Schizosaccharomyces pombe: one gene and its partners. The protein of the gene in region 3 interacts with the protein of the main gene of each other region in a biochemical or structural test. Each region holds a gene or a part of one and is shown on either strand. Other genes may lie near its edges. The genes, in order: cdc7, byr4, spg1 and etd1.

Region 1 (9,804 bases), on a different chromosome or scaffold from region 3:
TTTACGAGCCTAAAAAATGAAGCTAGATTTGATTAATGTATATTTAATTACCGACTTCATAAACCGGAATTTCAAGATTACGAGTTTGTACGCTACGTTAAAGAGCTAACGTTTGATGGTTTGCGGTGCACACAGTGGAGAGTCGTGCAAACTCGCAGGCTGTAACTTTTACTTGTGTTCTGTTACGTTTATTTTACTAACATTCGATTTTTATACAATACTCTAGAGTTAAAGATTTCACTTTTTAAAAAGTAGAATTTTGTTGCGCTAAAAAAAAACTTCAATTTTTGAGGAAGGTGTAACTCAAGTTATGTATTAGGCTTTGCAAATAAACCGAGTTTTAGGAACAATTCAATTTATTATGAAATTTGCTCAAAGCCGTTTATATGGGCTATGGCGCAAATCACAACAAGCATATCATAACATTAAAACATTAACGAACATCGTTATGTAAAATCTACCAGCATCATTATGTTTACGAAGTTATATGTAGCAACGAAAGGTACAACTGTTGCAATCATTCAAAATTTGTGTGGTAGATGCAAAATAAGCATGGGAATTGGGTTTTCATGATTATGATTCCTTTAACAATTGCTGTCGCTTAAATAAACTCGAAAGTCTCATGAATTAATGCAAAATATCAGCGCCTTATTTTAACTCAGTAAATGAACAGAGGGCTCGTTAAAGGTCAAAGGTTAAATTACTTAAATTTTGGACAATGCGAAGATGATTAAGGCACAAAATGATTTAGAGAAGAATACTGGAAGAAAAAATATAAACTATATTTAAAAGTACTATTGAAAAGTTTTGTATAAAGAAATCTTCTGGATTTTCCTTGTTTGCGAAATGGATATACTGCCAACGTATCGGTGCCTTTATTAAGCAGTAAACAAACAAACCCAAGTTCTTCCAACAGCAAACACTTCAAGATGAATAAAGGCCCAAGACATCGTCCAAAATTCTTATCAAAAAAGGGAAAAAAGCTTCGCATAATGGTAGCAGGATCTAGCTACACCAGTTACCAAGCTTGTATCAATAGCTTGTGCAGTAAACAAATACTGGAAGCTGAAACAGAGATAGATCCGCTAAAAGCTCATATTGATAGAATACTGGAAATAAGGGAATTTAATGCTGGTGAGTTATTACGGTTTTAATTTTCGTGTGCTAACTGTAATTAGATATTTTAGAAGATGAGTTCCATGTTGACCTTACGGTCATTGAAGTAAATGGTTTCGGAGATAAAATTGATAATTCAGCTAGGTAATACCAAAAGGTATTTTTCTAAATTAAAGCTAATTTCAATGCATTAGTTTCGAGGTAGTTACTCATTATTTGGAAAGCCAATTCGATCAAGCCTTGATAGAAGAATCTAAAATCAAAAGAAATTCTAAATTTACTGATACGGTACGAAATCTGCAAACAAAGTTTTTCCGTCCTTAACTATTTCAATCAAGTTACTTCCATTACTTGATTTAATGTTGTTAAGTAGAAAACCAAGAGAACACATTGGTTTAAGAATGAGGAATGAAAAAAAAGTTTTCTAACGATATTTTAGCGCGTTGATGCCCTACTTTATTTTATTGCACCCCGTGGACATTGCCTGTCTGAGTTTGATTTGGAAGCCATGAAACGGTTTTCAAAGCGCGTAAACGTAATTCCTGTCATTGGAAACTCCAACGCTTTTACTGAAGAAGAATTAAAGAACTTCAAAGATGTGATAATGAAGGATTTGAAACAATGTAACATAAAGGTATTTGACTTTCCTTGGGATCCTGAGGAGGATGAAGACGAAGTCATTGAGGATAACAAACGACTTTGGGAAAGTGTTCCATTCGCTGTATCTGGAGGGGTATCAGAGGAAGATGAAGAAGGATATCAAAGAATCGTCAAGAAATTCCAATGGGGAACATTCGTAATTGATGATCCTGCACATTCTGATTTTCTTAACTTGAAGACCGTATTGTTTATTTCTCATTTGGATATACTCAAAAGTATAACTAAACAAACCTATTATGAGAATTATCGTACAGAAAAACTGTCCAACGACTCACCTTCGAACACATCATTGTAAGAAATTAACTATGCATAAGCGAGCTAATAAGTTAGGTCATTGCAAAAGCAAAATTCCATAGTTGCAAATGAAGATAAAAGAAGTGTAAATGGTTCTGAGAGAACGGAGACTCGATCTTCGATTGATCAATCAGAAATGCGAACTAATGGTAAGTATATGCATTCTCTCATTTTCGTGCTAATGAACGCAGTCTCCGATTCTACAAAATCTGAGGAGTTAAAGAAAATTAACTCCATCAAAGTTGACAACACCAGCAGTCTTAAATGCGATTCTTATGGAAATACTAAAACTAAAACTAATCAATTAAACTGTGAACAAATTGGATTAGAAGTAATATCGCCAAAGGAATTTCCTCACAGAACTACATCAAGTCGAAACAGTCTACCCAACAATACGACAAAGGAATTGGAGATGAAGAAAATGGATGATTTGTCTCATGAGCGTTACGAAAACCTCCCTTTCTATCGCTAAATTAAACATTTGAGAGTGCAAATTATAAACAATCAAAAGAATAATTTAGTATAAGTTCATGAAAAGTCTTTTGATTTCTTTTTAATTGCTTAATCATACACCTACTTCTCTACCTATGTCCTTAACATAAGCATTCATTAGACTACTAGATTACCGCACCCACACGTGCATTGTTATGACCTACTTGAAACGATGAGTTAACTGAGGGCTGCCGAACGTCTCGTTTGGTATTTTTAAATAAAATATTAATTTACAAATTCATTTAACTGTTGATTACTGAGTAATGAGTCGAATCAATCCAATGCTCATCATTACGTCTTTCAGGTTGAGTCGTAGATGCGTAAACGGTCGTTCATCGATTTAGGCATTCGTGAGCATATGATTTTGGAAATTTCGTTTCTTTCAAAGACGTTATGATTACAACTATGCAATTTTGAGGTTGCTAACACGTAACTCTTTATCTAAACAGAATAAATGATGAGGTTGTTCTGAAAACACTCTTTTTTTAGTAAGAAAATAAAGAAGAAGTACATAAAAAATCAATCAATTTGAAGTCGTAACTAGGCTTCTTAGCTTCAGCGGCTTGTCACTAATGACTAATTATCCTTTTTTTCGCCAGGGGACAATTTTCGTGGACAATTCAGCAATTCAAAGGAATTCAGAGAATAAGAATAGTCTTTCGATTGAAAATATTTTTGGGAGATTTCCTAAAGAGTTCTTCCAATTTTTTTCAATAAATGTTTCTAAATCAACAACCAAGAAGTCTTCCGTCGTTATAAAGCCAAGTACAATTACTGCACCATGGTTAGAAAATGAATACTTAGACAGTAATACTAGCTTACTTTCCGTTCATTCAATTCAACCTTCGTTTATTGGAATGTCTGACTTCGCAATTGGATTAGATCCTTCACTGAAGCGTATATTACCCGAAATAAGATTTCGCTTAGACTTTCAGCATCTAAAATCAATAGCTAAAGGGGCCACCTCTACAATCAAGGTTGTAACTCACAGAGATAAAATCACCGACGCAAAGATATACTATGCTGCCAAAGTATATCGGAAAACGAAAACATCGCATAAAAAAAGATTGAATACAATGGTTTATTTTTTAAGGGAATGGTCAATCCAACCAAAATTGGACCATCCTAATATTCTGAAAGTTATCTGCCCTTGTGTGACTTTGACAAGCGTATTTAATAAATCCGCTGGGTTTTGTTTGGTTCAAGAGTACTGTCCTCAAGGCGATTTATTTAAGCAAATTGAAGAAAAAGTTTTGACCTTAGAAGACAAATGTTGTTATCTAAAGCAAATTCTTCAAGCAGTAGCTTACTTGCAATCTCAACGTATTGCGCACCGAGATTTAAAGCCGGAAAACATCTTAATCGGAAGGGATGGATTGTTAAAGCTCACCGATTTTGGTACCAGCGAAATTGTGGGTAATCCTGGTGATAACGAATCCATTCGTTTCGTATCGGGTGCTGTTGGAAGTTTGGCATATCTAGCACCAGAAGCATTTCATGAAAATGGTAAGTCTTATGTGTATAAATTGTGTAGCAAGACGAGCTCTATCCTATTTCAAAAACGACGTACTAATAGTTCAATTGATAGAATATTGTGGTCTTTTAGCAGATAGGTGGTCATGTGGTATTTTGCTTAAAGTTCTGTTTACTGGATACTTTCCATTTAAAACTTCCGTGAAAACTGATCTTTACTACTCAAAGTATATGTCAATCCTTACAGATACTTGTGGTATTTCTTCAACTGATGAATCCAGTTTCCAAACCGAAGTCATTAAACAAATACCTACATTGCAGCCCCTCAGATATATACCTGAAGGTGCTAAGAAGATTATACTAAGTTTACTGAATCCTGATTCCCAGAATCGGCCGTCGTTGGATAGTATTTTAGGTACTGCATGGGTACGGAAACTGGATTGTTGCAGTAACTTCTCTACCGATCATGAAAATAAGAGTTTACAGGAAGTTGATTTTGATGCTTCTAAACCCATTACAAGGAAAAGTTTGATTCCTCGGATTCATAACCATCAGACACTTGTTTAACGTAGTTTAAATCACTGTCTTTTCTACTTTACTTTCCAAGCTAAAATGAACTCATTCTTCCTATGTACATGGTGTTTCCACTGACATTACTTAACCAACGGATTAGTTCCATCCTTGCCAATATTTTTTATATGTCTGTATAATACGCTTTTTCTTTTATACGAGAATCTTTGTTTATTAATGATTTTATAAATAGCTTAATTATTACTATTTACTTCTTTTGAGTTTATAACATGCAAGTTCAGGTACCGTACTAAATGTGTATGTACACTATAAAGTCCTTACTTCTTCAAACGCAGCAAATGCTACATCGTAAACAAAACCAAATTGTCTTTTCATTCAAAATTACAAATAAATTCAATTTTTAATTTGTAACTTATTCAATAGTCATGCACAATATCCAAGCATCTTCCATCGTATGCTAGTATTTAATGTTAATAGCCATTGGATTTTCAATAACATATTCAGACTCTTGGGGATTGCTTGGGCAAGGGTGCCTTCGGTGCAGTATACCGTGGTCTAAATATAAAGAATGGAGAAACGGTGGCTGTAAAAAAAGTTAAACTATCCAAAATGCTAAAATCTGATCTTTCCGTCATTAAGGTATGAAGGGATCTCAACTATTTTTCTCTAACAATTTTTAGATGGAGATTGATTTGCTTAAAAATTTGGACGTATGTTACTCATTCGTTTATAATGGTCGCCAAATACTAAACGTGGTAGCATCCAAATATTGTTAAATATAGGGGATCTTATCAGACGAACGATTCTCTATGCATTATTCTGGAGTACGTGATTTTCTTTAAAAAATTGTTTTCAAGTTAACGATATATAGATATTGCGAAAACGGATCGTTGCGCTCAATTTGTAAAAACTTTGGAAAGATTCCAGAAAACCTAGTGGCCTTATATACGTTTCAAGTATTACAAGGGCTACTTTATCTACATAATCAGGGTGTTATCCATCGTGATATTAAGGGTGCCAATATACTTACTACTAAAGATGGCACTATCAAGTTAGCAGATTTCGGGGTTGCGACGAAAATTAATGCTTTAGAGGATCATAGTGTTGTTGGAAGCCCCTATTGGAGTAAGCCTTTTCTAAGCGTATAGTTATAACATTACTAACAATTTATATAGTGGCTCCCGAGGTTATAGAGCTTGTAGGCGCCACAACAGCCTCAGATATTTGGAGTGTTGGCTGCACAGTTATTGAACTGTTAGATGGAAATCCTCCCTATTATGATTTAGATCCTACGTCCGCTCTTTTTCGGATGGTGAAAGATGAACATCCTCCCTTGCCTTCAAATATTTCTTCGGCTGCTAAAAGTTTTTTAATGCAATGTTTCCAAAAGGACCCAAATTTACGAATTAAGACCAGAAAACTTCTTAAACATCCTTGGGTGATAATGAACCAAACCTCCTCTAAATTTTCTGACGCTATAGACGAGGTTCAAAAATATAATGAAAGAGTGAAAGAAAGCACTTTGACAGCTATTATCGAGCCTACTTCCAACAGAATCAATCCGACTCTTCATTCTGGCAGGCAGTCTTCTTATCACATGCCTGAGTCTCCAAAAACACCAATTGCCGAGTCCCCAGGTAGCTTTATGATACTTTTTAACTACTCTAACATTTTTAGATCATGATAACTGGGACAATGAATTTCAAGGAACCCTTAAAATCAGTGACGATGTTTTAAAGAAATCTGAGCATTTTATGGATTTTTGCAGTAACTTTAAAGGAAAAAATAATTCCAGCTCCATAACATCATCCCCTTCGAAGTCTCGCCATGCTTTTAATTCAGATCAAATCTCTGAATCAAACAACTTTAATGCATCACCGTTGAGTACTCCTCTCAAAGCCCAATTTGATCCCTCTAAGGTAAATAATGCAGCTCGATTTTCTAGAGCTTTTAATGATTTTAAATAAATAATTAACCTTTTTTTTAGCCCGCTCTCAACCGGTCAATAGATCATCAAAAAACTCCGCAACATAAAAGATACTTGTCAACTGGTAAGTATCTGATACTAACATATAACTAATTATCTAGAGTTTAAAGAGAATATACCAGACGGAATTGAAAAATTTGTCGAGACACCCAGAGATAGTGAATTTACTGATATTTTCCCTACATCCTCAATCAAAGTTCAAGGATTGAGAAAGGAGACTGGACTGGGGACTTTGGTTTTAAACAAATGTTATGGCTCGTGGAATAATGAAGAAAATGAGGATGGGGAAGAATCGGATATCTTTGACTCTATTGAAACAAACTTAGAAAACTTGGATATTGAAAACAACATTGCTTTAGATAAGAGAACGCATCTAGCTTCCTTACTTTCCAGTCTGTTAGGCTCACTACGTGACAAGAATATCGGATCGAAGGATACAACTGTTTCGCAAATAGTAAGTGCATATTTTTATATTGATAATTTAACTGACAATAGGCTTCTATACTTAGTGAAGATCTTTCTCTAAAACGAGAGATAATACAAGCGCATGGTATCCTTCCACTTTTAGAGACATTGCGCGAAATAAAAACGCCTGATGTTCAATTGCTGTTATTAAAGCTCATTAACACTGTAAGGATATTTAATGCGTGATTTTACTAACGTTAGGTTGCATTCGATGATCACACAACTTTACAAAAAGTTTGCTTTGCTGGAGGTTTACCGCTTATGTTGTCATTCTCTAATCGTGAACACTCTTTTGAGTTTAGATATGAAAGTGCTATCTTTATTCAACAGATGTATAGAACTTCTGCTTTGACATTACAAATGTTTTTGAGCTCAAATGGTCTGAATTCGCTTTTATTATTTATTAAAGAGGACTATGGAACGAACCGTGACTTTGTTTTTGTTGGCGTAGAAGGAATATGGAAATTACTGAGACAACAGGATTACATTCCAAAAAATGATATCTGTACGATGGTTGTAAATGATTCACTAGAGCCCTTGACCAAAGCCATGCTGAAAGCTTTGGCTACTGACGATGATTCTTCAAGAATGTCATTAACACGTATATGTGAAATTTTATTGGCTTTATCTCAGGCTGATAATTATGTTAAGGAATCACTTCTTTGCGAAAGTGCTCTTCGAAGGATATTGCGTATTCTGCTTTATCTGCCGCATTCTGATATGGCGATTACCTTACAGTTTTTCAAGCAACTTTCAATGGTTCCTTCATCTTTGTCGCTTCTTAGGAAAGTTCATATAATACCTCTTTTGACACATATTCTCGGTGACAGCAAAATTGAGAAAGGACGAAAAGAAATTAGAAGCGAAGCTTTGGCCGCTTTATTCAATGTGTGTAAGCTAGATAAGAAATCGCAAGAAGAGGCTGTTATTTCTGGTGCTATTCCATTATTGCAAGAGGTGATTATTAAAGACAGACTGTTTAAGGAGTTTGCGCTGCCGATATTATTAGCTTTGCCACAGGCTGGTCCAGTGTCGAGAATTTATCTTTGGCAAAATAAATGCTTAGATTTTTTTCTCTCGTTATTATCAGATCTTAATTGGCAATCTGCGGTATTTGATACGATCGCATCTTGGTTGCAGTTTGAACTCCGTGAAGTACAACGTGTTTTGGCAGAGAAGAGAAACGTACAATTAGTGTTAAAGGTGTTCTGTATTTCTCAATCAGCTTCCTCAAACAGAATGCTAGATACTTTGGGCAGGGTTTGTCAAATTTCCCCAAGATTGGCAGCCTCTTATGGCCAGCCTATAATATTCCAGAAATTTAAAGAAAAGTTAACTCATAAGGGGACCAAGCCGATTGTGGTCCTAAACATATTTCAAATTATGAAATCAATGTGTGAAGCTAGTAGCCAAAGTGTTGCTTATATTGCGCATTGTGGTTTACCAGATGTGGTTGCAAATTTGAACCAAACAAGTGATTCTGTGCTTGTTAAAGAACTAGCAAAAGACCTGCTGAAATACCTGAAGGTACCACAGGGTCCCATCAATGAGCACAAATCCCCCATTTCGAAACCGCATATGCCTCCACCTAGATGGCAACCAAAGCAGCCATTAACGCAGTGAACACTATTAAACGCATTTCCCAGTGCACGACTATATTACTTGTTTATGATATTTCTGTATTTATGGCTTAATGATTAATAAATAAGGTTGGGATTATGGAATCAATATTTTTTAAACGAAAGTTTTGCTAATTTTAATATTAATATATTATCATTCCATGTGTAAGTACGTTACCAGTTGTGTTTATACCTGAAATACAATCTAATTGAGTACCGCAATGAAGACTATTTATTTACCGAATCTATATTGATGAATCTTAGAAACGTTAAGAGAAAGGTTTATAATATGCTTATCACAGTGTATATTTATATTTATTCATTCAAGTGCTTCGAATTTTAAAATCTAGGTGTGCATAAAAGTTAACTTCACTATATCAGTTAACGCTACGATAGTGCAATACAGGAAGAAATATGCACTAAAACAAAAGGACAACAATGATTTTTATGCTTCTCATTTTTGGCTATTAATTTGCTGCTTTGTTTATTGCATAAATCTTTTTTGACTGTTTGCATTTCAGTAATTATTAATTTTTATGTGGAAGGAAAAATCACTTTTTTGATATTTCTTATTAACGTCGAGTTGCTAAACAGTTTATATCTATGTCAGAAGTAAAAAGGAATATATCTTTGAGAAATTCAACAAACATTTTTACTTCTACATTTAGTTTATCTTCAAATAATGTCCCAAAACCGCTGATTGGGGAGTCAGTTATAAAATATGGAGACGAGGCTTTTGTATATGGAGGACGCGATGCATTAAATGCGCAGCTTGTTAATGATATGTATGTAGTTGATCTTAACACTTGTTCCTGGAAGCAAGTTGAATATCAAGGAAATCAAAAGCCGATACCACGGTATTTCCATTCAGGGGATTTATGGAATAACAAATTAATATTCTTTGGTGGTATGGGATTTAATGATGATACAAAATGTCTTTATGTTCTTAACGACATCGACATATATGATATTGAGACTAAGCAATGGTCTCATATACCTGGCATGATAACAGAGAATCAGACAAATGACGATGCTAAAGAAGTCAATGGATCTGATGTTGATGAAAAAAGCAAACACTTATATCCATCAGCACGTTACGGACATTTGCATTGCGTGTTAGATCATTATCTTATTATATTTTGTGGGCAAGATTTATCAAACAGCTAT
Region 2 (7,816 bases), 340 kb from region 3:
GTCGGGAATCGCTGAATTCGATGGTATTTTAGATTCCCTTGAACATTCCAAGACAGGAATCTCGGGATCAAAAATTTTGAAATTGACTAACTTGTCGATGGAAAATGTTTCAGAGAATGCGCAATTTGTTGCTAGTGTGTATAAGTATGCGAAGCGTGCTCCCGTCACCCATAAATTAGGAGCTTTGTATATTCTAGACTCAATCGTTCGTAGCTTTCAGGACGGTGCTAAAAAGAATAATGAATCTTTTGAAAATCCCGTTGATGCGTCTTTTAGTGGCGGCTGGTGCAAAGCTGCTGAAATAACTGATAGTTTGGTCGCAGATGCTATACAGCATGCGCCATCTGCTCATTTGGTATGTGTAGCTGAAGTTTTTCAAGGTTGACTACGGATAAGATCCCGTATGGATAATCGTATGCTCTCTCTGCTTCTGTATCAGCGAGACACTGTATGAGAGAGGTATTTTTTCCTTGTAATACAGTATCATTCTCTTTGAGAAGTCTTTTAACATTATTGGACTAATTTGTAACTAACTAAGCATGTAGCCTAAAATATTAAAGCTTTGTGATATTTGGGAGAAGGCTTCAACATTTCCTCCCGAGAAGCTAGAATCGCTTCGTTCAAAGCTGAAAGATGCAATGGCAAGTACGGAACCGGTTAGTGTAGATTCTGCTGCTGCTCCATCACAGTCTACTAATCCCGAGGGGAATGGTGGTTCTGTTGGTAGTCAAGCAGCCGCCCCCACTTCTCGTCCTGTCGAAAACGATGCTGCTTCTATTCTAGAGGCATTGGCTGCTTTCGCTCAAAAGGCGCCCGTCCCTAGTGCTGCCGAAGAATCAGTTAGCACTCCACCGCAGCCTGCCGTCGCACCATCCGTTTCTGCTGTCGTCCCTAACCTACCTGTTCATCCAGCTACCGCCATTAATGCACAGTCTCAGTCAGGCAATCCATTATCAAACCCTCTATTCCAACCTTCAAATGTACCACAGTCTATTCCCTCTGGTCCCATGGGGATGAAGACAGGATCGGTCAATGATACCCAGAGTCAACAGATCACTCTCATGAATGTATTGGCTTCTCAGAATGTACCACCTGCACAAATCGATAGCATCATGAAAGCTGCTTTTCCCAACTATAACGCTCCATTCCAGCCGGCTGGTGTCGGCAGTGTTCCTTTGCCAGCTCCTACCTCTTCCCAATCCTTAAGACTCGGCTCCTTACATCGTTCTCGTAGCCCTAGTCCTCGTAGTGGTCGCCCTCGTCGTAGCCCTAGTCCTTCTCATTTATCCATTCCTTCTACTTTGCCTCCTGCAGATGGTGTGCCAAAACCTACCCCTGATGGATTTCCTCGCCGATTTGAGCGTGACCCAACCATTCCACCTGATTCTATTAAGGTATACAGCCGTACTCTTTTCCTTGGTGGTATTACTCGTTCTGTGCGAGAACCTGTTCTTCGATCTATGTTTGAACGATTTGGGTCTGTACAAAGTTTAATTTTAAATCATAATTACAGACACGGGTTCTTGAAAATGTTTCGTCGTGATGCTGCAGAGAAAGCTCAAGTAGCGATGGAAAATGTCCCTTTTGCTGATACTACTATTCGTACTAAATGGGGTGTAGGATTTGGACCTCGAGAGTGCTCTGACTTTTCCACAGGAATCAGCGTTATCCCAATCCGTTTGTTGACGGATGCCGATCGTACCTGGCTTGTAACTGCAGAATATGGCGGCACGGGTGGCCTTCCGATTACTCCTGGTATCGCTTTGGATGAACCTGATATTGAAATTGGATTAGGAATAAGTTCTAAGGCAATTAGTAAAAGAGGAAAAGATTTTGCTATGCGTCGTGATGAGCGATTCCGGGGTCGTAAACCATATAGGGGAGGTCCACCCATTCACCATGGTGAAAGGCATTTTGATTCAGGAAATGACTGGCATGGTAATCCTAGTACCGTTCCTCCCCCTACCAACCCATATAATCCCGGCTATCCATATATGGATCCTAATTACTCTTCTGGGTATGTCTCACAACCTCCTTGGCAACCCCAATAATGTGTTAAAAGACGCTTACAAGTATTATAATGATGGCAAAAATGGTTTCTATATTACAGACGGTATTTAAGGGTATAATGTATTCGGTCCAAATTTAATTGATTATTTTCTTTGTATTGTCTTGTTCAAACAATCTAGTTTGTCTGGGTGTCACATTAGTATTACATTTGTATCATTGTTGTACATCTTATACATCTATTTGCAAACAAAATGAAAAATCTTCGAAGTGTATTAAGCTATGTACAAAAAGATCAAATCTGCGATAAACAAAAGCATTCGTATAATTATATATAAACATTCGCAAGGTAAAGACAAAACCTTGTTTATTGTTCGGCATTAAGTATATTATAAAGCTCCCATAGTCGTGACCTGTCATCGTTTTTAAATGAAAAAAACCAGCCATCAATTCTCTTTCGCCATTGAATATCTTCGCTAAATTGCTTTTTTTCAAACTCTGGGCCGACATCGTATATTTCACTCATATCTGGAAAATTGATTATTGAGTTTATGCTACCATTAAAGCTACCTGAATTTTCGTTCAAGTACTGCGAGGTGGAGTCTGTATCCTCAAGATCATCAAACCCGCTAAAGGGATCTTCCGCTTCTTGACCAGAAATCGAATTATCAATCCATCGTAACCTTGTAGGGTCATATACCATATTTCCGACAACCTGGATTCCTTTTTTTGTAGAAATGTTGGAAATTAATGCTGGACGGCTAGGCGAGATAGGGGTATCAAAATCTCTAATTGCATAATCGTTTCCTTCCCAGCAATGTTTTGTGGGATTATATCGCATTTTTCCAACAATTTTTGGGGTTCTAGGGGAATTTAAATTTTGTATTAAAGTAGGTGCCTTTTTATGGTGTCTGCGTTTTTCTTTGACGCTCAATTGATCATTGGAAAGCGATTCTTTTGTTAACTCTTTAGAAGGGGCGGCATGAGTTTTGTGTTGCCTTTGAGACCGAATATGCTCATTTTTTGCTGAATTAGTTATATTATTTAAATTATTCTCATGTTTCGAAGTAGATCTAGGGGTAGTATGTGAATGCCATTCTTGAGTTGAACCTGCGTGTTTACTTTTAGGCGTTCCGGAAACTTTGGTAGTTTGCTTTTTTCTCAATTTAAGCTCAAATTCATAATCAACTGGTAATTCATCTAAAGTATCAAGTTCTGTACCATCTCCGTAAGTCTTGCAATTTTTAGGCTTTGTTCTGTATTTAGAATTACTTGCAACTGTCTTCAAAGCGTCCAAATCCATCAAACCCATCGAATTTTTCGAATGATAGATCTTCAAATTCGAGGGAGTCCATGTGGAGCTTATAGAAGAATTTCCCTTCACGGGAGAAGAATGTTTACTCGAAGCCTTCAACGTTTCTGGATAATGAGAAGACGTATCCCTTTTCGAAAGTGTTTTCGAAGAATACTTTAGGTTTGGGTTATCAGAATGAGGGTTTTCATTAGCGAGTGAAGGAAATATGTCTTTACAAAGGGGATAATATTTTGCATCCTGATGCACATTAGGTTGATAAGAAATTGTGGAGGAAATATAAGGATGCTTTTGGTTGATGGTATTTGGAGATCGAATCTTTTTCCGAAAGATCGATTCTGTTTCGTTATTAAAGTCAATATCAAAATCATCCCAAAAGCCGTCGTCATTATGCGCAGAGGAAGGCGTACGAAGCGAAGACTGTTCTACGCTGGAAAAGGAAGCTTTTGGATCCATCCTATTTTGTTTTCTGTGCAAAATACTGTTTAGGTCGGTATCTGGGTCTATTTCAAAATCATCTTCAAATGAAGAAAAGCCTTCCGATTCACAATAAGGGGAGTCCGAAACACTGGGATACCGAGCATCATTTTCACTTGAAAGATATGTTTTCTTAAGAGTATCACTAGAGAATGGAATTGGAGGTCTTTGAGAAGCAGTTTCAGATGCTCTAATAGTATTGAATTCATCAACATCGGCATCTTGGTATTTATTGGGACGAAGTGTATTAAACTCATTATTACCTTCTTCACCTTCTTCATCGAACGAAAAATCATCTTCATAGCCTTCTACATTGGAAGAAATTCGGTTCTTGTTGGAAGACAGTTCATGGTTTAAATTATGTACTTGTTGATTCCATTGTTCGACACGAGAATGAGCGCTTGGTACATCAGAAATTGAAAGGCTATTAAGACGACTAATAGAGTCGTCAAACGAGAACCCATCATCCACACTCGTACTAGCACTAGTGGTAGCTATGGATTGAGTAAATAGGCTAGCATTATCGACGTCGGAAGCAAAATCAGGATCATCGTCCCAGCATTCAACTTCAGTCATTCAATCAAAATAAACGTATACTAAAACGGCTTTGCTAAGAAAAGAAATTGGATGCAAAACGCATAGAATGATTACTAACCGTATTCACCCAAAACTGAAAACCCTAAATTTGATTTTCAAAGAAAAAGAAAGTGAGAGAGAAAAAGGATGGTCACTAATTTTGCAAAGAAGTAACCACTGTAAATATTTACGCTTTCAAACCCAGCTTCGAGAAGTAATAAGTTATGAACAGCAATTCAAAAGGACTTCAGGAATATGATTATGATGATGCTTTCAGAGATACAATGAAATTTTGTTTTGTATAGAAAGCAAAAAAAAGAATTTAACTTATTTCAATGACAAAATCAAGGAATCTGGGTTAGCGGTATATTGTTGAAAGAGACGGAGGTTGAGCTAGAGGTATAAGTGTAAACACCAACTTGATCAATTTACGTACTTTGGTTTCAGTACTTTACGAGAAATCAATTTTTAATAAGGTGAAAAATAAAGCATCTACTATTTGCTTGTGTAAACCTAAAAAAAAAATAGTTTTTTTTGGTATCTTTCAGTCATATTTATTTTTGCTAGATTAATCATAGTAAAATACTTAACCATATGTGATTGCCAAAATGCATAGCTGCACCTCACCTTAAAAAAATCTAGGTAATCTAATTAGCATGCAACTACGAGTTAATGTTTTTTAAAAAGTAGATAAATTACAACGAAGGTTAGTAGGTGAAGCAATAAATAGTATGTTTAATCGTCACTCGTATTAGCAAATTCATTCGTCTTAGAATTTTATTTTCCTCCACGAAAATATATATATTTTTCTTTGAACGTTTAAATTATTATAAACAATTGCTTTCTCTGAAATTTATGCCCATTTACAATTTAATTCTGTTTATGGAATCTACATATTCGTTCAAGTATATATGAAATACATTTTAAGGAATCTTTTTTTATTAGATTCTTCGTATAATTTCTAAAATACATACTATTTTCATATACGAGTTTAGATAAATTACAAAAAAAAAAAAAAAAAAAAACGATTAAACTATAGGTTAAAAAGTAAATCTATTAGTTTATAACAAAAGAAACGTCTTTGTTTTATTTTAGTTTATTTTTTTACATCTAAAAAGTTATTGAAATCAACAATGGTAAAGTTGAACAAATTAACTCTTCAATTCATAGGTATGAGAAACCGTTCTTCATTAGTAAATCCAAGTATGAAACATAATCATGTTTTTACCCCTATGCGATCGCGCTATTCATATTTTTCCTAAATTATTTTTAGCATCAATTCTGTCTATAGTTTCATATAATTTCAGTGATTTAATCATGTAATTATTCATGTAAAGTTCATAAAAAATATAGGTTGATGATCTTATTAATGTTTGTACTTAAGAAATGGTAAATCGAACAAGTTGAAAAAGTAAGCATGGCATCTGTCTTATACTCTTGTGCTTTTCTGTAAACCAAGCAGTTAAAAACATTATTGCTTGCTAGTAGCGAAGCAACTTACAAACATTTCTCATAGACGAGAAGTAACTCCATTTTTCAGATAGTCTAATAATAAGTCAAAGAAAAGGATGTTTAACATCATCCTAATCAAATTCATATAAAACTAATAATTGTTTTCCATCGAAGGAATCTATATATCGCACTACAAGGTGCAGTAACGAAACACTCAGATCGTGGAATCCGGATTGTGTTCTTAACCTTACGAGAAAAACGAGCCATTACGGTCGTGACTGTCCAGAAATCGTTCGATTTTTAAATATCTGAATTTAGTCTATTTTTTGATATAAATCCCCCTAATCCCATTCGCTGCTGGCACAGTGTTTTTGTGAAAACAAAACAACCAAGTTGTAAATTTAATTCGCAAGTTGAACAGTGTTTTGATTCTTCACTTGTGTTAATACCAATTCATCCAATCGGTTGTATCATATCTTAAATACCATTTTGGTTACTTTTTTTTTTGGACATTTTGAGCAAATCCGTAAAGTAAATAAAAAGATGTCTGACATTACCGTTGAGCCTATTGGCAAGCAGATGGAGAAGCTTATTCTCGATGTTCAGCAAGAAATTGTTGCTGGTCTCGAAGCTGTCGATGGACAAAAATTCTTCCAAGACAAGTGGACCAAGGGAGAAGGTGGTTATGGTATCAGTTGTGTTATTCAAGATGGCAACGTTTTTGAAAAGGGTGGTGTCAACACAAGTATTGTTCAAGGAAAATTGAATCAAGACGCTGTCCAAAGAATGCGTGCTAATCATGAAGGTATTGATCGTACTGCCAAAGAGCTTCCATTCTTTGCTGCTGGTATCAGTATGGTTATTCACCCTCGCAACCCCATGGCCCCTACTACTCACTTGAACTATCGTTACTTTGAACTTGTAAACAGTGATGGTAAGAAGATTTGGTGGTTTGGTGGTGGAGCCGATTTGACTCCTAGCATTCTCTTTGAAGAAGATGGCAAGCATTTCCACAAATTGCATAAAGAAGCTTGCGATCGCCATGACCCCACTTTCTATCCTCGCTTCAAGAAATGGGCTGATGAATACTTCCTCATCAAGCACAGAAAGGAGACTCGTGGCATTGGCGGTATTTTCTTTGATGATCTTTCTGAGAAAGATCCTCAAGAGTTATTTGCTTTCGTCAAGGATTGTGCCCATACCTTCCTTCCTGCCTATGTCCCTATTATGGAAAAGAGAAAGAACATGGAATTCACTGAAGATGATAAGGAATTCCAACTCATTCGTCGTGGATACTATGCCGAGTTTAACGTTATGTATGACAGAGGTACTTGGTTTGGTCTTCAAGCTCCTGAACCCCGTGTTGAATCTATTCTTATGACCCTTCCATTACATGCTTCCTGGCGTTACAAGTATGAGCCTAAACAAGAGCGTCACAAGGCTCTCCTTAAAGTAACGCATACCCCTATTGAATGGTGCTAGAAAGATTCACAAAAATGACTTTTACTTCAGCATTTAATGAACATCACAATTTTTGGTAATAGCTTTATTCTTTCGTTTGTTTTTAAACTATGCCATGTTACACTAACTCATGTTAAATTTTCTATCATGCCTTTTTTGCTCTTCATTATTTGGAATTCTTAACTGTTTGAATTTGCGATTTTGAATCCCTTTTCTAAGCTAATGAAACAATATTTTACCCTTTAAAAATCCGTATCTTTTATTGAGTAGTGTTTTATAAAGAGTTTTAAAGTAAAGTACAGTACCTATTTGGCTTGAGATCTAATTTCACAATATAAATTTCAACTGATCTGCACTTTCATTAACTTAATTTCAATGTATTTTTCTTTAAAATAATACGAATAAAAAAAAAGAAGATGAAGGTAAAATGTGTGTGTCTTGTCTTTATGATAAAACGACGTCGATCCCCAACGGATTGAGATAGACAAGTCATAAAACGTTAGCATCGGTACAAATTTTACAGTCGCTCTT
Region 3 (7,033 bases):
TTGTGTTTAAACTTAAAGTAAAAATGGCTTCTTTTGGTGAACTATCGTTTCTCAGCGAAATTTCGAATATTCATAAATCGAATAAAAAGCATGAAATTCAGAGTGCTGGCACGGTTGCTTTGGATAACGGAGTTGAATCTCCTTATTATATATGTGTTCAAGTGGAAAATCAGGGAATTGAAGTTTATCATATGAAGGATGAACGCTTATTCGCTTCATGTCCTCTACCTGAGAAGACACGGTTTTCCTGCTCACCCATCTACATTAAAGAAGGAAATTGGCATTATATTTGGACCTGCACCTCTCTTAAAAGTAATGGGGAATGGAAAATACTTCTTTGGAAGTTCAACGACCTCGAGGAGGAAAGCGAAGTTGTATATCGTGATATTTCCAACCAACAAATATTTGCTCTTCATTTCATCTCGTCAACTGGTCAACTAGTGATTGTATTTCGAAACGGAAAAATTGCGTTTCTCGATCCCGAAGATGACAAAGTTCACATGAGTGCCTCCGTTAACGAATCAGCCACATTGCTTCAATCAATGTATGTTCCTTCACAAGCAAATCCTATTGATGCTGTACGATTAGCATCTAACGAAGCAAGTGGCACTAATAATAATCCAAAGGAAATCGAGATGAACAGCGACACAACTTCTTCAGTACCAAAGTCAGGGTCTACCAGTTTTAGCGCTAATGTCACCTCATCCACATCCATGGTATATTTATTGTATAGTGTACATGTCGACAAAATTATACAATATTATGTAGATTCTTTTTCAGTTTCTGAAAGACGTCTCGTGAATACGAGAGCTGTGGTTCTAAAGGAAGTTCAGGCTCCTTCGCACATTCTGATGTCTAAAGACTCTACAAGTATATATACGATTTCCCTCGAAGGGCTATCCATATACTCACTTCATGATGAGTCCAAATCTTATATGCTTATTAAAATTCTTCATTTCCAAAGCATATCGAAAATTGAACACATAGAGCTTATTTCGGATAATTTTTTGTTAATTCAACATGATAGTCAACTATCTTTATGGGACATAACATTCGGAACTATTCAAGATGTTTACGATTTGAAACAGAAACCCACGATTCTCACTTTTACCTGTTATAAGTCGTCTTTAAAAAAAATGAATCAAAACTCCCAATTAACTGGATACATTGCTGTATTATTAAAGAAGGGACTGGCCATTGTACCATATACATTGCCGATAAAAATGCTTCTTGCCGATGCAGTTGGTAAACGTACTTCAAAAATCGGAAAGCTACGCGGAACCAATGAACTCATCGGCGAAGGAGTTTTAACAAAATCTAAAAATGGTCCTTCGATGCGTGACCAACTATTGAAAAATATACAGTTGCAAGATCATTCACTTCGTGATGAATTAATTTCCTTGCGTTCCTTAGCTGAACAAAAAAATACCATAGAGTTTGATGCTAAGTTCCTAGGTGTTGTCGAACGATACCAGAATCAGTATGCCAACAATTGCAAAATTCTTAAAACAAGCAGTGTGCTTCCTATTCCATTTGCTCATGCAATTGAAAGTCTCTTGTTTTCCCTTGATGAGGAAAATGAGCTTCAGGTCAGTTGTGCAGCTTCAGGGACACTCAATTACTTAATACGACACCGATTATTTAGCTACTCAACTCTGGTACAAAAAGGTTTCTCGGGCTCCGTGTTTGATTGTTTGTATAAATTTCAAAAAGACATTGCCTTTAATTTCCTGGAAAGAACTTCTGATATTTCAGCCTATGAAATAGCTTGCGCAATTAAAACAGCTATCAATTCCTCCAAGGTTAAGTTGTTAAGAAGTGCTTTAGCGAGGTTATCTTTGTTTGATAGCACGACATCCCGAGAAGCGTTGCTTTTAGCTTTTGTTCCCGAGGATTTTGATTCACTCTTTAAAACCTTGGGCAACCTAGTAGTAGACTCTAACCTTGCATCTGTTAAGTTTAATTTGGAAACGTACATTTACTGTTTGTCTGTTGTTCTCGATGCAATGGGTGTTGGAGGCGTTGCATCGAGTTCTGAAAACTTAGAGGCTGCGAGGATTCTCTACAATGATTTACAGGAAAAGCTAACGAATTTAACAGCTATGTCGCTTGTTCTCCCTGCAATTTCCGAAATTGTTAAGCGTAAAAAAGACGTACATGCTGAACGAGTGCAGTTCTACGCCAATCCACAACCTAAAGCAATTGTGGATGACATGGGTGATCTTGCGACTTTACTGAAAAAAGATTTTCTTTCCGAAAAAAGAAAAGGTAAAAGCCAACGTGCCCGTGGTAAAGAAATTGACATGGCTATTGGAAAATATACAGTTGAACGTTTAGAAATATAATTAGAAAAACAGGTTTATTTGTGAAATACATATAGGGGTTATTTTTTTGGAATAAAAATCTATCAAAAATTAATTTAAATAATGTTTGTACATAAAGGGACAGTATACCACATTCAAAGATATTTCAGACCTTGTTTTCAACTGCAAAGCTATATCAACTAAAAGTTTGATAAAACAAAAGACTGGTAAAGATCACTTTTAATTAGACAGATTTCGTTCAAACAAAAAACCAAAAGTTGCAGAGATCGTGGTTATAATTCATTAAATATTTTGACAGAGAGTTGAGTAAATGAATATGTCGTTAAAACCAAAAGCAAGGGAAAAGGTAGCAATACTTAAATGACACAAAAATTCGGGAAAATAAACATGATAAAGGAGTGTGGGTAAAATCAGAGTAAAAAAAAAAAGAAAGAGATGGTAAAGCATTAAAAATCAGCGATCGATGTATTCCAAAATAGGATCTCCAACGTTTTTTATTTCAGGAATAGTACATTTTAAGTCAAACACCTTAGCCAAAACAATTTTGAATATCTAAAAATCGTCAATATAGTATATCAACTGATATTATACCTTTTGCACATTAATAGAGTGTGAAGTAGAACAAAATACCAAGCTTGCCTTCATGGCCTTTGCATAACGACGTGCCTAACCAAGTTAATAATACGACTTCTAGTAATTTTTGTACCTGTTTGGTAATCTCTTCTTGATCTTCACGAGGAAATGTCATGAAATGATCGTATTTTGTTCCAATCAATATAGGGACAGCGGTCTGAAAGCGTTAGTAACTAAGTTAGAGATATACTGAGTACGATAAAAAGTAATCTAATGAAGTTTAGCCACGAACAGAGGTTATCGGTTCTAAAAACAAAATCAAAACAACCCGGACGTGCATAAACGTATATCGGAACGAAAGAACTCATACCTTATTGAAACCGCGAGCTTGACGATACCATTCTTTGATAGAATTTAATGTGGATTTCCTTGAAAGATCGAACATAAAGAGAATTGCAACGGCATCGTTACAAACCATCGGTAGCATGTTTACAAATTCTCGCTGACCTCCAAGGTCCCAAATTGAAAAGGTAATTTCAGTGTTTCGAATGCTTATTGTTTTCTCCATAAAATTCACTCCTAAGTTTGTTAAGTTAGAAATCTCCCAATAAAGGTAAATATTTACCAAGCGTTTGTGTGCTTTCCTCATCAAATGAGCCCTGAACATAAGTTACCATAAGAGATGTTTTGCCAATTGAACTATCTCCAATCATTCCGACTTTTATCGTGACGTTATTTTTTCTAGCATCTGCCATTCTTTAAAACTCCTATCCTCTGATATTACTCTGCTTGAACCCCGGCAGTAGATGAACAATTTCCCTTTGCATAGGATAAGAAGCCTCGTTCGTGTTATAATATATATATTGGCTTATTATGAATAGCGTATTATGACATAGCTTGCTACGTCGTGTTACGTTGACTTGTACATATATTTTTTTAAGCAATGGAAAGAATGCTGGTAATATATTAGTTTGTAAATTAAAACGAGAAAAGATCTTTATTTATAATAAGTAATTATAAAAAAGCTAGTTATTATAACTGGTGGGTTTACAGTAAATTGTAGTTTTGATTATTTGCTATCGATAATGTAAAATTCCATAACTGTTTGTGCTAATTATTGAGCCAAATGAGATGCGTTGTTAATTGCTCTTGGAATTATTCGTAATTCTTGTACTCATAAGTTTGTTCGGGACTATTTTTTCTGGGTTTTACTCGCATTGCAACGGAATTCGGGTTCTTACCAGGGATTGTGGTACCGAGCCGCCAGGTGTTTATGAAGCCATAATATGATAAAGGTACTAAAATTGTTCATATACTGATAATTAGAAGTTACACTAAGACTGAACGTTAACATGGCAGTGTCATTTTTAAAATGCTTGACGACCAGAACAAGCCAGTAATAATTAATATATTAAGTCAACCAAATGCCTCTAAACATTATCATAATTAACAATATGACAAATATGGTCAGCATTTATTTTTCTGTTTCATTTTGCACACCTTAGCTTTTACTGTTTAATGCGTCAACTGGATTCATCTGAAATTAATGAATATATCAGTTGAGAAGCGCATTGTAGGTTTCAACATTGAAATATTGTAGGTAATCAAATGCCAGTAAAAATTCAAAGGGAATTTCCAACATTATATTCAAATTCAAGTTTTAATTGTAGTTTTGATTTCGTTCTTTATTCCCTCATATTCCAAGGAGTAAGGACCCTTTTGAACTTGACTTTCGAATTCAGAAATTACAGGATTGTCGCACTTCAACTTCATTGTAAACAAAACTCTCAAAGCAGAACGAACCAAATCAAGGATATTATCGCTATCTGTCTTTAAAGTCTTTTCAGTTTTTCTAAGCTCTATAATTTTTCGTAATGCTTCCAAAATAGTGTCTACTTGCTCGTCTATAATTGAAGGGCTGCAGTCGACAAGTTTTTCCAAGATTGACAAAGATACTAGCTTAATATAATGTTCATCTTCTAACCCCATGACAGAAACCTGTAAAAAATGGGTTAAATGATTCAAAGATTCAGGGATATCCAGTAAGGAATAAAGTGTTTCAAATACTAGCTGCCGTTGATTTATTGAATTATCAACCACATGTTGGAAAGGGCCCATTTGTACAACATGAACGTTACTAGAATCAACTGATGATTTGGAAATTAAGCCTTGTAAAAGTTCATTATAAACGTCTGCAATGCAAGAACGCCTATTTTTTATCACAGATATTATGACCTGCAACGTTTCTTGACTAACTTCGAGGTCTGGATTTTGAAATAGCTTATACGCCTTTTCAAAAAATTGTTTCTCATAAGCTTTCAGTTTAGGACAGTCCAATGTCAACGAAAAACGAAACACCGAAAGAGATAAAAGCATATGATTTGAAGCTTCACTGGAGGATAAAAGTTCTAGCTTATAATATAAGCTAGAAGATTCATTACAAATTAAAAGACCAAGACATTCAGATAAAAGAGTTCTGAAGGGAGAAGTGGAAAAGTCTTTAATGTTTTCAATGTCCTTAGAAAGGATATCCCATATTTTATCTGCTGTTTCATAATCGATTTTTGATTTCTTAAGAAAAGTTAAAAAGGAAATTAATAAAAGTTCTTTATCATAAGCATCTGAGACGTATAAAGCACATAATTCTTTTATGAATTTTTCACTTTGACTAGTAAGCGACCCTAAGGCAATAGCTGCTGCTTTCATAACATCTGCATTCGGCGAGTTTAAATTACTTGCAATCGTATCAAAGTACTCATTTGCAGGAAGTGTTAGCTTCCCGTAATCAAGCTGTCCAAAAATTAAAGTTGTGAAAACTTTTATCCGTACTTCTGATTTAGGACTCATAAAACTTTTATTCAGAGACGTAACAATGGCCTTTGATTGAAAAATACAAATCAGTTGTGCAGCAATCAATGCCAATGTAACCATTTCTTCAACAGGTTTTTGTGCACAAGTGAAAGAATTAATAATCAACTCCAAATCTTCTTCTTTCGAAATAACAGCAATAATTCTGCTTAGCAAACAAACGGACTCTTCGTTCAAATGTATGGTTGATGATTGCAGATGAGAAATTATAGTGTCTATTAGTAAATTTTTTGATTTCAAAAGGATACTCAAAGGTATGATTAGCAAACATTTTAAAATTGCAACCGTATTCTCAGTGTTTCTTTTAAGAGTCTCGATCAGTAAACCTAAGATATGTTCAAGCAAGCTTTCAGCGAGATATTTTTGTCCAACTTTCAAGAGCACTTCTAATAGTTCCAAATAAGCAGTCGTAAATTCATTGCCACTTTTGTCGATATGCCTACAGCAATCCTGGAGTATTTCTTCATAAATTTTTGTTCCATTTTCTATCTTAGTAATATCTGTAACGGACATGAAAATATCACATAACGCTCTTGCAGCAGCACTTCTAGTGGGCTCTTCCTGTAATTTTTTACATAAAATAATTAAGACACGTCTCAGGAATATAGAATCAAAATCAGGCTCATAGAAAAGAATTACGTATTGAGAGACCAGATCTATCAAAGCTAAACGAACTTTCAAGTCAGAAATTTTAGATTCCAAAAGTTGAAGTGAAGAATCAATCATTGTGGAAAAATCTGTTGAGACGTTAGTGGGTTGCTTTTTATGAATATATTTGCAAAATGACAGCTCAGTAATTAAGGCCTCGTATGAAAGTTGTGGGTAGTTGTTTTGTACCGCTAAACTTAATATAGTTGACATTTTAGATTCCATGTTTTCTATCTCTTCGCAGCCGCAAGAAATGATAGCTGATATTAAGCGAACTAAATTCAGCTTAATTTTTATATCAAGGGTTGAAAAATCAGGAAAACGGTATATAATTGAGCTCAGATTTGAAAATTCGGACTGAACACCAAGATCTCTTGAAGAAAAAATCACTGTAACTAGGTTCAGTAATTCAGATACAATGGAAAGTGGAGTTTTATCAGATAACTTAGAGACATGCTTTCCAATTACAGACACTAAATAAATAGAAGTATCCGATATTGCTGAACGGTCCGATGGTAACCCTTCATAACGACGCTTTCTATCATTAGAAGTTGCATACACCTCTATCCAACGAGGAACATGCAAGAATGCTTGTTTTAATACTTCGATAGAAATCAAGC
Region 4 (7,227 bases), 3.8 Mb from region 3:
AGCAATCTTTCTTAGCCGTAATTTTTCAGATCGGACTATATCACCAGTCAGAACTGAAGTCAACATATATTGCCATTCAAAACGTTCTTTGTTTTTTGGGTTAGCCATTAAATCATCAGAAAGTAAGGATGGGAGATTCAGAACAGATTGTACCCAATTTACAGTTGAAGTCTCAGAATCTAAATCCGAGTCCTCCTCATCATAAGTTTCATTAACATTAGAAAAGTAATAAGTTGAACTATCACGACGAATGCTTAGAGAAGGATCGTTATAATCATATTCTGGGTCAAAACACTTTAACGAACTACTCAGTCGTCTTAATTGAGATTTCCTCTCAGGATGATCTTCAATTTTAGCAAATGTTATAGAATTTCTTAGTTTGTGAGAACGCTTGGGCTTTTCTGGCAAATTTTTAGTTTTGCTTGGAACTGCTGTTGAATTTATGTGTTCAACATCAATCATTGGCGACGAAATAGAACGTCCTCTGTGCATATAATCGTCTTCCTTAATACCGGGAGACTTTATTATCCTATTTGAGCTAATACTACTTTGCAGACTAGGTCGGATAGGATGATCGAGGTTTGAATGACCAGCATTCTTAATTGGTATAGGAATGGAAGAGGAAGAAGTAGGAGGATGTAGTAGATTACTAGTATCGCTTGGACTTACGGCATAAGCACGATCTAATTCATCAATATTGATTGGGTCAACAGGGGTAGAAATAGTAAGGGCCTCGGCTGGAGGCTGTTCAGCCATTCTGAAAGCTTCTGAAAATAAGTCCTCTTTGGCGCTCGCCTTGGATCTATCACTTGAGCTACGCGCAACAGATGGCCTTCTGTGATTTTCTTCTTTTCCGTTGTTAGGAAGTTCAAGCATAGACGAGGTAAAACTTGAAAGTAAAGTCAAAGAGCGACGATGAGCCTTTTCAAATGTTTTATCACGCAATTCACTATCAAGAATTGGATTGATAGAAGATCGCCTTGAGCCATTTTCTAGTATATGTGAATTGACCACAGAAGGATCCAAAATATTTTCCATGTTTGTTGAGGAACAAATTTCGAATTGCTTCAGAAGTTATGTATAAAAAAGACCGTTATACCCAAATTTAAACCCAAAACGGGAAACAGATAAGTTTGGAATAGTGGCAAGTAGTAGTAGAATAATTGTTTACTGAAGTCAAAAATGGGAGTGGGTAATGAAAAAGTGGTTTACAGATGCAAGGAATGCCAACTCAGTGTAAGGAATTGTGCAGCGAAGTCAATGCAACTACTGTTATATGTAAAAATAAAAAATCCGAAGTTGACAAAGACAAATAACGATTGCAGGAATTACCAACCGAACAGAATTCAGGTTGTAAGTATATTAAAGTAATGCAGTCAAATTGAGGAACGTAGAGAGAGAGACACACACACACATCCAAAGCAATGGGTTTTCGAAAAGATACGGTAAATATTAATGAGCAGAAAAAAATGATAAAATATTAAATGTAGAAATTCGGCTTAAAAAATCGATAAAAGTGTTGTGTAAAAAAATTATACGAGCCGAAGAGCAGTAAAACTACCGCGTATAAATTGTTGAAAGAGCAATAATCAGTGAACTAAAAAGTCAATCCTCCTTGTAGAATATGTGGAATTGACAAAAAGAAAATTTATAGGTTTGCGGTGTGCAAAGGATAAACAACTAATTGTGGTCTAACCCCGTAGTATAGTATGAAGTGGGGTACTAGTTTTAAGGATTTTCAGTGCAATGAGGAATTTCTCACTAAATAGCAAAATCATAGATATGGGTTTTCAGGTATTTTTGATTTACATTCTTTTACTTTAATTTAATAAAATCTTTTTATCACAGAATAAAGGTTGGACTAATATTCACAAAAGACAAAACATCTGTCTAGTACTTTTTCCGAAATATTATTGCAAAATAGATTTATTAAAAAGAGAAAACGAAAGAAATTTACAATAAAACCAAAAGCTTCTTAAGATGCAGAAGTATAAAAAGGTTGTAATGGCCAGTTTCACCTTTACTTGCTATCCACCAATGCGAAACTGTTCTCACAATTATTGAAATTATCCTAAGCGAAATTTTGACACTTTGGATAACAAAATAGATACTTCCCATTCCATTAATGGATTAAATAGCCAAAAAGAGAAACTCAGTGTAATAATAGTTGGAGTTGGGACATTAAATAATGCACATGATCGTTTAGCCCTGGTAGCATGGACGCATCGAAATCTAATGAAGAATCCCCTTCCAACTTAACTTTATATTTTGATAAAATGTTTTGCGCGTCCTCATCCTTTAAATCAGAATAATTTGCAGGATCCGCTAACCGTAGAATAGCCTTAGCCTCTCCTAAAATCTCTGAGTCCTTGTCGTAAATATCTTTGGAATTTGCCTTTTCGTAAAGATCTTTTAAGTCTATTTGTGTTTTTAGTTAGCAGCGGTTAAAACTAAAGCATTACAACACATGAATGTCTTACCTTTGATGGATCTCGTAAATTCCTTCACCTCAAAAAGCTGTTCTCGAACGGTGTGTCCTGCACTGTTTACCGTTTCGGGAATTATCAATGGACTATCGAATTTCACATTAAAGTCCTGCTCCCAATCTGAATCCGCATCGTCCGCAAATAAATCGCAACGAGATGAAAATCGAATATCCGATGAATCGTTATTTATATGAGTCGTTTGCGTATTGTCTTGAATGATAGGTTCCGACACTTTCGACGACTCTGGCGAAGTAGTCGATAACTCGTCCCAGCAAATACCATCCGAACTCTCATCTTCTTGCGTAGTCGCACCCAAAGAAGTTTCTTGGATTTGCTTAGCTAATTCATTTATCCGAAAGGAATCTGTCTCATTATCATCATGAAGCTCACCTTCAATAAATCCATTAACTGAAGGTAGTTCAGCACCTACACCACTAGCCTTGCTCCCTTTATTGGCCGAATTAAATTCATTACTTAACGCAGTTTTTTTACAGTTGCCTTTGTTTATCTCATTCGCCGTAAAGTGAGACAACGACGTACTGTCTGCACCTGAAGCGTTGCGTTGTACAGTACTTTTTGACTCAACTCCTATGAATGAAAAAATTCGTTTAGAAAATTTTCGGGAGTAACTTCTTAAGCTTTCAAATGCTGAGGGTTTCCTCCATGAGCCTTGATCTATGCATTCGGAGGTGTTAACTTCTTTCGGTAATCCAAGCTGTTTAGGGCGCCTCGGTGTAATATCTGAACCATAACTTTTCATGCCTTTCACATGCCTTCGTTGTAGAGTCACACCTTCAAAAGAATGACCCCTATTCTCTTCGAAAGTATCTGGAACCTCTGCCATATTGACAGAAGAATAGAAATATTCACTTAAATTTTGTTGACTGCCGTATACAACTCCCATTGACGAAATACTCGTAAATCTATATTTCTCTTAAGCTAAATTAAAGAAAGAATTATTGCCGTAGAGAAAAGACTGTACGCGTCAACCCATTCAAGTGTGTAAATAATGGTAGAAGGCACTTTCGTCAAGACCACGCTTTTGTTAGTAAACAAACGGTCGTCATGAGAACGACATAACGAATTTTGAACATGAATCTGTAAATGATTTATAAGGAAATACAAAGTTCTATAACATCAAAGAACGCAATTCGTTATGTTGTTTAAGCGCTATATAATTCTGATAAATACTTTATAACGCGTTAATCGTGGTTACGTTAAATAGGGCTTTGTAAAGATGGAATGCTAGCAGAGATAGACTAGGAAATGGAAAAGACTGTCTATTACAAGTTTTATTCATTAAAAATGTTCAACTTAAAATAAATAAGTTAGCCAAAAACTGAAAAGATGAATGACTCTACAAAGATTCAAAGCCACTGCTCGTTCATGAGCACAATGTTAGCATCAAAAGTTGCTATACGCCTTTCAACTTTCTTTACTTGCTTACGATAAACTCTTCAACTAACTCTGTTGATGCAGGGAAAACATTGTTTTCTTCTTTTCTTTCATTACATTGACTTAAAAGTCAAACTCTTTAAAACTAGTCAAATAATGTTTGCAGTTTAAAGCTACGTTTTTGAGAGCGTAAAGTGATGCAACCTTTAATCTCACAGTTAATATAAACATAGCGAATATAATAGGTTAATGGATCAATGATTAATAATAACTTTTACCTAGCAGAATTGTTTATTACTACAGACCATTTAACTTTTAGCAAAAGGAACTTCCTAATTCCTTACAAAAGTACGACTGGACAGTTACGGTTAACACAAATACGTTAGCTCTGAGCAAAAAAATTAATTCCACAAAGGTATACGCAGTAAATAAAAGTTCAATCCAAAATACAGATTGACATCCTCTATTCACTCATTTAGTTTTACCAAAAAACAAAAAAACGACAAACCTTCTAACCAAACTACAACACATTTATAAAAGTAATCACAGAACAGCTACACGAGGCTCAAAAGAAGAGTAAATATATGTAAATCAACCAAATCCAGCCTTTTATTTTGTGACCTAATGAATAAACAGCGTAGCCGAAAAAAAAAATCCTTTCTCAGCAAACACTAACACGACTCACAAAAAACCATATGGTGAGCAGCTATCAACCGGCACAGATAAAAGAAGCATTAAAAACATGGGCAAAGAAAAGCAGATAAATTAAGTTGCGGGAGGTTTGCCGGGTTGCGAGAAGAGCAATCACGGAGCGTTCCATATCTAGAACAAAGAGAAGAAAGGACTTTTGTATTTTTTAAATCAAGTCAGCAATGTTCATAGGCATTTCCTCAATGTGTGTATTGTAGAATTGTTCAATCTCACGCATCATGCGAACATCGTCGTTGGTAACAAAGTTAATGGAAACACCCTTACGACCGAAACGACCACCACGACCAATACGGTGAATGTAGTTTTCTCTGTTAGCAGGTAAGTCATAGTTGATAACCAAGGAGACTTGTTGGACATCGATACCACGAGCAAGAAGATCGGTGGTGATAAGAATACGAGAAGAACCAGTACGGAACTCATGCATCAAAGTATCACGTTGAGCTTGGTCCATATCACCGTGCATGGAGGAGACGGTAAAATCACGCTCAGTGAGCTGCTCGGTAAGCCAATCGACCTTTCTACGGGTATTACAGAAAATAACGGCTTGAGTAACAGTGACGGTTTCATAAAGATCGCAAAGAGTGTCAAGCTTCCACTCTTCCTTTTCAACGGCAACATAGAATTGCTTGATACCTTCCAAGGTAAGCTCATCTTTCTTAACAAGGATACGAATGGGATCACGCATAAATTTGGTGGTGACTTCCAAAACATCTTGAGGCATGGTGGCAGAAAGAAGAACAACTTGAGCAGTAGGAGGCAAAAGTTGGAAAATGTCGTAAATTTGGTCCTTGAAACCACGGGACAACATTTCATCAGCCTCATCAAGAACAAACATTTGGACGGCATCGGTAGGAAGAGCACGACGTTGAATCATGTCGTGAACACGACCTGGTGTACCAACAACAACGTGAACACCAGCTTGCAAGGCAGCCATATCATCACGAACAAGAGTACCACCAATACAAGCATGGCATTCAACATTCATGAGATCGCCTAAAGCAACAACAACCTTTTGGATTTGTTGAGCAAGCTCACGGGTAGGAGCAAGGATAAGAGCTTGGCATTGCTTCAAGCTAGTGTCAATCTTCTGCAAAACAGAAATTGAGAAGGTAGCAGTCTTACCAGTACCAGATTGAGCTTGAGCAAGGACATCACGCTCTCCCAAAATGGGCATAATGGCTCTTTGCTGAATGGCAGAAGGACGCTCAAAACCGTAGGCATAAATACCACGGAGAAGCTCAGGCTTCAAATTCATGTCGTCGAAGGTGTCAATAACCTCATCGTAGTTGGTTTCAATAACCGAATCCTCCAGTTGGTCTACCATTTTAGCAATCTTGCTTAGCTAGGTGAGTGGGTTGTGGAAAAAAAGTTGAAGGGTTGTAATAAATATTTTCTCTAACACACAGTCACACACCTGAAAAATTGTAATAATTCCTGATTATTTTAGTACTTTAAATACACAGACTTTTACTGAAAAATCTATTTAAAAAAATTATAAAAACATTTATGTACACACTTTACTTTTAAGATTTTAGATGTCTTCTAAAAAATGATGTAGCAAGAAAAACCCTACTGAACGTGGCGATAAACTCCTGCACACTCTATCGAAGCCTGCGTTAATGCTGTTTAATACAGATAAGCAACTCGTTGCGAAAAAGTGTATTTTACGTGGTAATATTTGGTGAATGCTAAAACATAAAAAATGTTAAGGAGTTTGGAATGCATATAAAAGCATTTTTTATTATTGTAACACTGTTCATGTTATCTTCAATAGTATGAAAAGTTATCGATTACACATGAGTATTTTAAACAATCACAATAAAAGATAATGAATGAATATGCTGAATGCAGAGAGGTTGTTTATTAGTTGACTAAAGAAATGCATAATAAATCTATGGAAAAAGAATGATTCGTAACAAAAACAGCGTGCAATGTTGAGCAAATTGAAAAAGACACAATTCGTTTAATAAAACACACAATCGTCAATAGCATTATCTCAACCATAGTAAATATATGTACGTAGGAATTTTTAAAGTTATTCCTTAAAGAGATGAAGCAGGGTCATAGATTCTTGAAGCTTAGATTGTAATAGCATATATTATAATCAATTGATGTGGCATGCAAAAGATGTCCGGAGTAGTAAATAGTATTCCAAAATGCTCAAGGAGAAGTTCGCACAAATGTTGACAGTACTGTCATAAACGATCTAAAGTGCAGGACCTGCTGCATTTGCTGGAGGAAGTATTAAAGAATGAACTATAGGATTTTCTCCAGATGAAAATGGAATTGGCTCAGTGCTGTAAAGTATTTCACCTCCTTCACTAATTAACCCTCGGCCATCAGTTAAAAGTTTAATGTTTTGTCCCATTATGATTTGAACGAGTTCGGCTGTTTCGGCATTCCTAATTTCAATGAAGTCCGGCTCAAATGCCAGGATATATGGATAACACAAAGCGCAACCTTGAGGTTGGCCCTCCCAATTAATCATCCAGGATTGCCTAGATTTCCAGCCATTCGTATTAACAAAGAATGCAAAATCTGAATAACAGAGGAGAAATTCTCCTCTTAAGCGAAACATGGCAATCGGTCGAATATCTTCCCTCTTTTCTAAAAATCTAAATGAAGTATCAGCAGG

What was found.
Region 1: the proteins of spg1 (region 3) and cdc7 form a complex in vitro, tested with the Schizosaccharomyces pombe proteins (one study listed by BioGRID).
Region 2: the proteins of spg1 (region 3) and byr4 form a complex in vitro, tested with the Schizosaccharomyces pombe proteins (one study listed by BioGRID).
Region 4: the proteins of spg1 (region 3) and etd1 form a complex in vitro, tested with the Schizosaccharomyces pombe proteins (one study listed by BioGRID).

What each region holds. Positions count from the first base shown.
Region 1 is NC_003423.3:3,221,618-3,231,421, reverse strand, and holds cdc7 (serine/threonine protein kinase SIN pathway Cdc7), read left to right. Parts: upstream 1-4,916; 5' UTR 4,917-4,991; coding exon 4,992-5,018; exon of another isoform or gene 5,019-5,070; coding exon 5,071-5,205; exon of another isoform or gene 5,206-5,246; coding exon 5,247-5,276; exon of another isoform or gene 5,277-5,325; coding exon 5,326-5,390; exon of another isoform or gene 5,391-5,437; coding exon 5,438-5,691; intron 5,692-5,741; coding exon 5,742-6,203; intron 6,204-6,243; coding exon 6,244-6,485; intron 6,486-6,553; coding exon 6,554-6,617; intron 6,618-6,654; coding exon 6,655-7,007; intron 7,008-7,048; coding exon 7,049-7,183; intron 7,184-7,219; coding exon 7,220-8,641; 3' UTR 8,642-9,071; downstream 9,072-9,804. Other genes in the region: meiotic septin Spn7, read left to right, coding at 930-1,134, 1,179-1,260, 1,311-1,404, 1,556-2,067, 2,107-2,219, 2,262-2,542; serine/threonine protein kinase Ppk24, read left to right, coding at 3,135-4,068, 4,151-4,602; Ras1-Scd pathway protein Ral2, read left to right, coding at 9,241-9,804. UniProt on the Schizosaccharomyces pombe protein: Protein kinase essential for cell division. Plays a key role in initiation of septum formation and cytokinesis.
Region 2 is NC_003424.3:960,063-967,878, forward strand, and holds byr4 (two-component GAP Byr4), read right to left. Parts: upstream 4,747-7,816; 5' UTR 4,373-4,746; coding exon 2,375-4,372; 3' UTR 2,252-2,374; downstream 1-2,251. Other genes in the region: poly(A)site selection protein Seb1, read left to right, coding at 1-355, 546-2,051; hem13 (coproporphyrinogen III oxidase), read left to right, coding at 6,368-7,306; SPOM_SPAC222.17 (uncharacterized protein), read right to left, coding at 7,803-7,816. UniProt on the Schizosaccharomyces pombe protein: Has an essential role in ensuring cytokinesis and septation occur only once during mitosis. It does so by interacting with the ras1 signaling pathways, thereby suppressing them.
Region 3 is NC_003424.3:1,297,367-1,304,399, forward strand, and holds spg1 (GTPase Spg1), read right to left. Parts: upstream 3,725-7,033; 5' UTR 3,653-3,724; coding exon 3,523-3,652; exon of another isoform or gene 3,477-3,522; coding exon 3,268-3,476; exon of another isoform or gene 3,115-3,267; coding exon 3,031-3,114; exon of another isoform or gene 2,991-3,030; coding exon 2,916-2,990; exon of another isoform or gene 2,877-2,915; coding exon 2,778-2,876; 3' UTR 2,346-2,777; downstream 1-2,345. Other genes in the region: protein Utp8, read left to right, coding at 24-2,345; knd1 (cullin-associated NEDD8-dissociated protein 1), read right to left, coding at 4,551-7,033. UniProt on the Schizosaccharomyces pombe protein: GTP-binding protein essential for the induction of septum formation at G2 and pre-START stages of mitosis. Acts via the cdc7 protein kinase pathway.
Region 4 is NC_003424.3:5,084,252-5,091,478, reverse strand, and holds etd1 (Spg1-binding protein Etd1), read right to left. Parts: upstream 3,501-7,227; 5' UTR 3,391-3,500; coding exon 2,481-3,390; exon of another isoform or gene 2,419-2,480; coding exon 2,153-2,418; 3' UTR 1,841-2,152; downstream 1-1,840. Other genes in the region: MAP kinase kinase kinase Win1, read right to left, coding at 1-1,038; translation initiation factor eIF4A Tif1, read right to left, coding at 4,738-5,916; RhoGEF for Rho1 Rgf2, read right to left, coding at 6,799-7,227. UniProt on the Schizosaccharomyces pombe protein: Involved in septation.